Linked DNA regions of Macaca fascicularis. The protein of the gene in region 1 interacts with the protein of each later gene in a pairwise test. Links are inferred from orthologs where the notes say so. Each region holds a gene or a part of one and is shown in the gene's direction. Other genes may lie near its edges.

The links.
Region 2: the proteins of ARFIP2 (region 1) and ARF3 interact in a two-hybrid assay, tested with the Homo sapiens proteins (2 studies listed by BioGRID and IntAct). The link is inferred for Macaca fascicularis from reciprocal best matches to the Homo sapiens genes ARFIP2 and ARF3.

Annotation. Positions count from the first base shown.
Region 1 is NC_088388.1:59,599,470-59,603,937, forward strand, and holds the start of ARFIP2 (arfaptin-2), read left to right. Parts: upstream 1-1,394; 5' UTR 1,395-1,495; intron 1,496-2,267; 5' UTR 2,268-2,309; coding exon 2,310-2,408; intron 2,409-2,659; coding exon 2,660-2,756; intron 2,757-3,465; coding exon 3,466-3,584; intron 3,585-3,764; coding exon 3,765-3,986; intron 3,987-4,071; exon of another isoform or gene 4,072-4,145; intron 4,146-4,468. Other genes in the region: TIMM10B (mitochondrial import inner membrane translocase subunit Tim10 B), read right to left, coding at 508-684, 876-971, 1,173-1,208. UniProt on the Homo sapiens protein: Plays a role in constitutive metalloproteinase (MMP) secretion from the trans Golgi network. May have important functions during vesicle biogenesis at certain cargo subdomains, which could be predominantly utilized by secreted MMPs, such as MMP7 and MMP2.
Region 2 is NC_088385.1:55,751,648-55,754,796, reverse strand, and holds part of ARF3 (ADP-ribosylation factor 3), read left to right. Parts: intron 1-234; coding exon 235-476; intron 477-1,313; coding exon 1,314-1,424; intron 1,425-1,641; coding exon 1,642-1,766; intron 1,767-2,312; coding exon 2,313-2,474; 3' UTR 2,475-3,149.

The DNA of each region.
Region 1 (4,468 bases):
GCTCCCATTTTCTGTCATCTGGGCAGGAACCAATCTCCTTTTGTATCAAATGGCCTTCTGGTACATTCTGGAATCTTGCTTCCTCATCTATTTAGTGAGGCTAATACCGCTTACTTGTAGTTTTGTTGTAAACTAAGATAAAGCCTGACATATTACTCATTTTAAAATTGTACACACAGACCCTGCTTTAACCAGATGCCTGCAAATACTCAGGTTTTCCTTCTACATATAGAAGACAACTTATCAGCTGCCAGGGCTGAAGCCAGCAGATATGGCTAAATGACAGAACAAAGGATTATGCCAATAAACTATGCAAAGCTTCCTTGCCCAGAATATAAATCAAACAGAGTAAAAAGCGAGTATATTGGCTCCAGGAAAAGGAGCAAGGACAGCCAGTTTTCAGGCGACCTCGAATTCTCTCCGTTTAGGATTCACCAACCCTAAGGTCCACTGGGTCCTTCAATCTGAGGGTCCATCCAGGGCCTTCCCTCCTGGGGTTGGAGATGGCTAGCTGCCTGATGGAGAGACCCCAGGCTGCTCAGCAGCAACGCCTGGCACAGCCGAGACAGCCTCGTAGTCTGCGATGCGGCGCTGTACCAGGGCAGGCATGAGCTGCACGTAAGCGGCCATGAGGCGGTGGTTGGAATGGATCAGCTTCCCAGCACAGCTGTGCAGACAGGCCTCCTAGAAGGAAGATAGGGTTTAAGCGGAGGACAAAGGTGTCCTGTCGGGCCCGCCTCCGTCCTTCCCCATGCACAGCCTAGGGGTGAGGGTCTGGGAAGGCCAGGACCAGAGGTAGGGGAAGTGGGGTGAGGAGGGAAGCAGTCTACCGCTAAACTCTGTTTGCAGCGTAACCTCCTTACACAGTTCCCCACCTCCTCAGCGTCCAGAGCTCGGTGGTGCAAGCTGGGCACACAACGCTGGAAGCAGAGTTCTGTCATCCGATTGTAGACCAACAGGAAGTCACGCAGCTGGGAGAAAACCGGGACCACGAACTCAGCGATATGTGCCCCACACTTCTACTCAAGGTCGCGCCGCCCAAAGTTTCCCAGGCCCGCGCACCATAACCCGAAGTTTCCAGCCCTCAGATCCCTGGCTCTATGGGGTTTCCGCGATGTGTGCAGGAATGCGAGCTGAACGTCTGGCCCCGAAACGACTTAGTTCTCACTCACGTTTCTCAGTTGCTGTTGCTGCTGCTGCTGCTCCATCACGCCACCGGCGCATGCTCTACGCCACTTCCTTTTCAGCTTCTCGGTGCCGCCCCGGAAGTAACCTCTCGCTGCTCTCGAGAACCAAGCTAGAGTATCGCCCTGCCCCGGCTTCGACGTCACTTCCGCCCTTATAATCTGCGACGTGGCCGGCTTCTTCTGCCCGGAGAGGACGTCACTTCCGCCGAGTCCCTGACCTGCTGCTAGGATCGCGACGGGAACTGGAGCCCGAGGTCCCCGCGCGGCCCGGGCCTGGCGCCCTGAGGGGAAGAGCGGCCCGGCCCGAGGTGAGAGGGACATGCTTGGGCGACGGGAAGTTGAACGCACAAACCTGTCCAGAGGGCAAGATGCCCCGAGCCCTGGGGAAGAATGAGGACACACCTGATGTCCAGGTGTATGGGGGTGGGGGCGGGGACTCACATACCTGGGAGACTGACTGTGGAAGGGATCACCGATATCCTGGTAAAGACAGGCTTTTGCCAGAGACTGGGAACATACACCAACTGATCTAACTAAGGCCTGGTGGGGAGGGCCCAAGGAAGAGGAGTTGTATGAGACGGAGGAGGGGAGACCCCCTGAAGGAAGGGGGAAGAAACACTAAAGGAGTGAGAAAGGCCAAGCAATGGAGAACAAACCTGAATGGGGGGTGAAGACCTGAGCCCTGGAAAGGGTCCATCTCCTGCTCAGCATAAACACGCCTGCATGGAGATAAGTTCTAAGAGAGCTACTTTCCCTCTTCACTGTTGTATTTTCATTGTCACAAATAGTACCTGACACAGAGTAGGCACTCACTAAATGTCTGCTGAATGACTGAATGAGTGTAGAATAATCACCAGAGGCCTGGTGAGGTTGGGGGCTTGTGAGAAGACACCGTGCTTTGGTGTGCCTGTGTACAAATGTGCATTTTGGAGGGGAGAAATACATATACCTGAAGAAAGGAATGATGACCAAACGCTGGGACACTCAAACCCTGGGACAGCCTTTAAAGAAATGACAGAGGAGGCTTCCTTCTTCTAGAGTGCTGGCCAGTGCCCAGAACTTCTGTGTTGGGCTTTGCAGGGTGCTGGGGTGGAGAGTTTTACTCCAATACCTTTCCTAGCCATGACGGACGGGATCCTAGGGAAGGCAGCCACAATGGAGATCCCTATCCACGGGAACGGTGAAGCCAGGCAGCTTCCTGAAGATGATGGGCTGGAGCAGGTGCTTCTGTTTGATTCTTCTAATTGTTTCAATTTAGGAATCCAATTTATAAATCCTGGGTTCTCACCCTCCATTCCAGTAGCCTTCCCCTGAACTTATCTGACTCCCTTAATTTTACATATCATTTTGATTCTGTGCAGACTTCCCTTGTGTAGTGTCTTTATGATGCTTGAATCCAAACTTGTTCCCACCTCCAAAATGCTTCTGCAGTCCCTATGTTCCTGAAGCAACCCCTCTTCTCTGGCCTATAGGACCTCCAGCAAGTGATGGTGTCAGGACCCAACCTCAATGAAACCAGCATTGTGTCTGGTGGCTATGGGGGCTCTGGTGATGGACTCATCCCCACAGGTATGAACAGAAACAGGAAGCTTGGGTGGAGGAGGGGACAGGAATGGTTTGGGGAAGCATAGGATATGTCTAGGAAAGCTTGAATAATGTCTGGAGATCTTAGGAACTTCTGCTTGTAGGAATCCCATGGACTCTCCTCAGCCCAAAAGCAACTCCCAGCATTGTCCATCCATTTCCCTTTTGCCACTTGGCCCCTGAAATGGCTCATTCGTCCTTTCCCTGCCACCACCTGAGTCAAGTTAAGACCTACTTCACAGGAATGCCCCCGCTCTACAGCTTGAGGCTGAGTTGGAACTTTGTGAGGCTTTTCAGAATTTTTAGATTCTAAAGTTTAGAGGAACAAACAGCCCTGAATCTCACACTAAGATTCCACATGGGAATGCAACCAGGTTTCTTGTTATCATGACCCACCATCCTTGACTCCTGCTGCCCCCAAACTCAGTGTATTTTCTTCTGTTTCCTCTGCCCCTATACACCAACAACTCCCTGCAAACCTCTCCTCTGGCCTCCAAGGAGGCCATATGTATATCAGGATTTGGTTATCACTGTGCAAGGTCCGAGTTCCTCCTAGTAAACAGGAGAATCCAGTTGTCTCTAGCATCTCCTTCAGGGAAGTCAATTTCATGTGCTGGGAGAGAAGCATGGGTGGGGCCACAGAGGTGTCTGGTGTATCTGAGAGAGGCTGGTGTCAGAGAACTTGATCCTTTAGGGTCTGGCCGCCATCCATCTCACAGCACCACTCCTGCTGGCCCTGGAGATGAGGTGGCTCGGGGCATTGCTGGAGAAAAGTTTGACATCGTCAAGAAATGGGGCATCAACACCTATAAGGTAGGATTTGAGCACCTCTCACTTCCCCAAAACTCGTTATGGGTACCTTTTTCCCCTTTCCTCATGATCGTAATATCCCATCTGTGGCTGAGAGTAGGAGCCTGGGTGGCGTTGGGGTAGATACCTGTTGTGTCGGGAGGCTATTAGGGTCTCTGATCTATTGCCCCGTTTCCCAATCAGTGCACAAAGCAACTGTTATCAGAACGATTTGGTCGAGGCTCACGGACTGTGGACCTGGAGCTAGAGCTGCAGATTGAGTTGCTGCGTGAGACGAAGCGCAAGTATGAGAGTGTCCTGCAGCTGGGCCGGGCACTGACAGCCCACCTCTACAGCCTGCTGCAGACCCAGCATGCACTAGGTGATGCCTTTGCTGACCTCAGCCAGAAGTCCCCAGAGCTTCAGGTGCCTCACCCAGACCAAAGAGGGTGGGGGAACTGGGCATGGGCCCTCCCAGGCAGTCATTCGTCATCCTCCCTCCCTCCTGCAGCCCACAGGGAGAACCCCTTCAGGGTGGGCCCAGCCCTACCCCCAGCAGCACTCACCTGTGGAGGCAGCCTAAGGGTTTGTACAGAGGTCCAGAAGTTGGAGGGGGTGGGGGAGGGGGCACACTAGGTGCTTCACAAATAACCCCTCTCTGCATTGGGGAGAATGCCTTCAGTGCTCAGCCTAATCAGAGCCCCTGCCCTGCTTGCCACACTAGCTCTTAGACTGTTCCAGTCTTGTGAACTTATCCAAGAATGCCCACCACCCACATTCCTACCCCAGGTATCCCCAGGGTGACCCCACTGACTTTTTAGCTAACAGAGCTTTGCTGGAGGCAGTCCTTGGTTCTTCCAGTTTTGCTGGCTGTTTCCTCCCCAGGGAGGAGGGGAATGAAGGGCTCT
Region 2 (3,149 bases), on another chromosome or scaffold:
AGTAACTTGCCCAGAGTCACATGGTTAGATTACTGGCAGAGCAGGGATCCTTAGTGTTTACTGCTTTGTCTCTGTTCCCAAAGACTCAGTATGTTAAGTGGGCCTTGGTATTTATAGTCCCCTCAGACTCTCGGTTTGTCATGAATGAACTCTAGCCATGACCTTGGGAAATTCTAATTACGTGGAAGTCCTGACAAGCAAATGATGGTACGATTTTACATTTCCTTTGTCTAGGATCAGGTCTTCCATACCAGGGACCAGGCCAAAACCAGACTGCCACTGCCCCCTACTTGGGCCCCACTGTCCCCAGAAAGCAGTTGCTGTGATCATGGGCAATATCTTTGGAAACCTTCTCAAGAGCCTGATTGGGAAGAAGGAGATGCGCATCCTGATGGTGGGCCTGGATGCCGCAGGAAAGACCACCATCCTATACAAGCTGAAACTGGGGGAGATCGTCACCACCATCCCTACCATTGGTAAGAGCAGAGCTTGGATGTGGGCTTTCATGCCAGCAGCTGAGTCAGGGCAGGGACCTATTCCTGGTTCTCCCACCTGGCCTCTTCTCCCCAGGCAAGTCCATACAATTTGTGGGGTTCAGAAAAGAGGGGGGTGTTGTTTAGCTTACTAGCAGATGCTGGGGCTGCTGTTTGCCCACCTAACCTGGCTCTCCCTGATGCAGGAACTTCCATGGCCTGGCACTCAACAGTTGCCCTCAGGCATGGAGTTGGTTTTTTCTCTGTGTTGTTTGGAAAGCAGGTGAAAGGCTTTGATGTTCCTTCCAAAGGCTTGGAATTGCTTGGGTTTAGGTCTTTGGTGGCCAATCTTGGTTACAGTCTGCTGAAGGGAGGGAGAACATTTGCCATGTAGTGGGGGCTCCAGTCAGCATTCTCAGCTGGCTCTGCCTTTGGGGCTCCAGGATGCCAGCTTACTTCCCTTTCTTCACTCTGCCTCTCAGGCCTCACATCTTAGCTGAGGCCAACTCTGGTAGCCAAAGTACCAGAGTAGGGCTGAGTCATTTTGTAGAAGGGAGCACCAAAGACTCAGTGGAAAAGTCAGGAAAGTTGGCCCACGTTACCCAAGCAACTGTGAACCTCTTGACCGACTTTCCTCATCTTCTTCGACTTCTCTTCGGTTTTCATTTTGGCCTTCAGGCTGCTAGGTTAACGATTACCAGGTCTGAGGAAGCCTTAGGCTTTTTTCCATTGTTGGTGTCATGGCCACCACTGGGAGAAAGCAGAACCAAACTCATTGTGGTGGTGGTTGCAGGGCTAGTGTTTGAGGCCAAGTGACCATTGCCTGTTTTTTTCCCAAAGGATTCAATGTGGAGACAGTGGAGTATAAGAACATCAGCTTCACAGTGTGGGATGTGGGTGGCCAGGACAAGATTCGGCCCCTCTGGAGACACTACTTCCAGAACACCCAAGGTATGCCCAGGCCTAGCATGGGTTGGTTGGGTTTGAGCAGAGTGTGTGGCTGTCTTTCTTGTTTATGGGTGGCCAACTGTTACCCTGCTATAGCTCCTGGGGGCAGAAGAAAGGGAGGAAAGGGAGCAAATATTTGGAGGGTGTCAGGCAAGTGTCTTCTTGTTGGGGGGAGGGGGTTACCTGTCATCTTAGTGCAGCCCATGCTCTGCCTCCCTAGGGTTGATATTTGTGGTCGACAGCAATGATCGGGAGCGAGTAAATGAGGCCCGGGAAGAGCTGATGAGAATGCTGGCAGAGGACGAGCTCCGGGATGCTGTACTCCTTGTCTTTGCAAACAAACAGGTGAGACTTCTTCCCACCCCAGAATCTGGGAGACAGCAAACTGGCTGTGGAAATTGTTGGGTCTTGGGCCTATTATATGGTAAACCCTTTTAGTATGCTCTCAATTTTAGAAGTGTGGGAAATTGAGCAGTTGGCTTCTTTATGCCCCTCTTCTCGTGCCCCACCCCAGCTTTATTTAGCAACATTGCAGTCCTCAGGGATTGCCTCAAATCTTTCTTTCATCTTGCCTATTATCTACTTTAGGTGAATTGGCCTCACTCCTGCTGTCAGACAGACCTGATTCTTTGGTCAGTTTGAATCACGTCTCTTGCTTCCCCACCAATCTCGTATTTGGTTTCCAATTCCTCAGTACAGTGACCTCCAGTGCCTTGGATCTTGGGTTTTAGGGTGACTAAATCCAAAGTAGCTCCTTAGGATCTTGGTCTGGGTTTCCTAAAATAAAGGAGGAGGGGAAGGTGCTGGTACACATTTCTTTGGTAGATGGGTGTTCTAGAAGCCTTTAAAAAATCCTGAGGCTTCTTTTTGTGTGTCTCCCACGTGCTCCAGGATCTGCCTAATGCTATGAATGCTGCTGAGATCACAGACAAGCTGGGCCTGCATTCCCTTCGTCACCGTAACTGGTACATTCAGGCCACCTGTGCCACCAGCGGGGACGGGCTGTACGAAGGCCTGGACTGGCTGGCCAATCAGCTCAAAAACAAGAAGTGAGAGCCAGACAGCCCTAACCAAGCACCCCACCCACCCCTGACATACCTGCTGTCACCCTGCCCCAGTCCTACCCCTTCCTCTCCACTGCAAGTGTGGCCAGGGCCCTGGGTATCATGTCCGCATGCCCAGCAAGAGCCTTGCCTCCCCTGCCTCCCCTCCTTTTTCCTGTCCACCTATATGACCAATCCCTAATTGCTGTCCTGATGATGAGTCATTCCAATTTACTGGATTTTAAACAAAAACAAAGTTGTTATGGTTTCATGGGGTGGCCCCTCTCTCTCTCACCCTCTGGGTTTCGGGAGGTCGAGTGGGGTATTCTCTTTGTTTGGCAGTGGTTGCTGTCCTCTTGGCATCTGAATCCTTTCTCTGTCCCCACAAGCCCTTCTACTCCCTGTTTGTCTTTCCTTCGCCACCCTCTCCCTGTTCTACATGGAAATTGCACGGGCCTCTCTGTGTTTGCGTGCATGTGTGCGCCTGTATATACATGTATAGAGAGATATATTTGTGGGGGCCGGGGGGAGCGGGGAGGGGGTGGAGTTAAGCTCAGGGCTTGCAGCCAGGACACTGCCCACTGGAGCCTGTCATCTGCCCCTTTCGTGTTGGTGAGATTAAGGGAAGAAGGTGGGAGGGCATTAGTCAGGCCGGACTACCCCAGTCTTTGACTGGTTACCCACC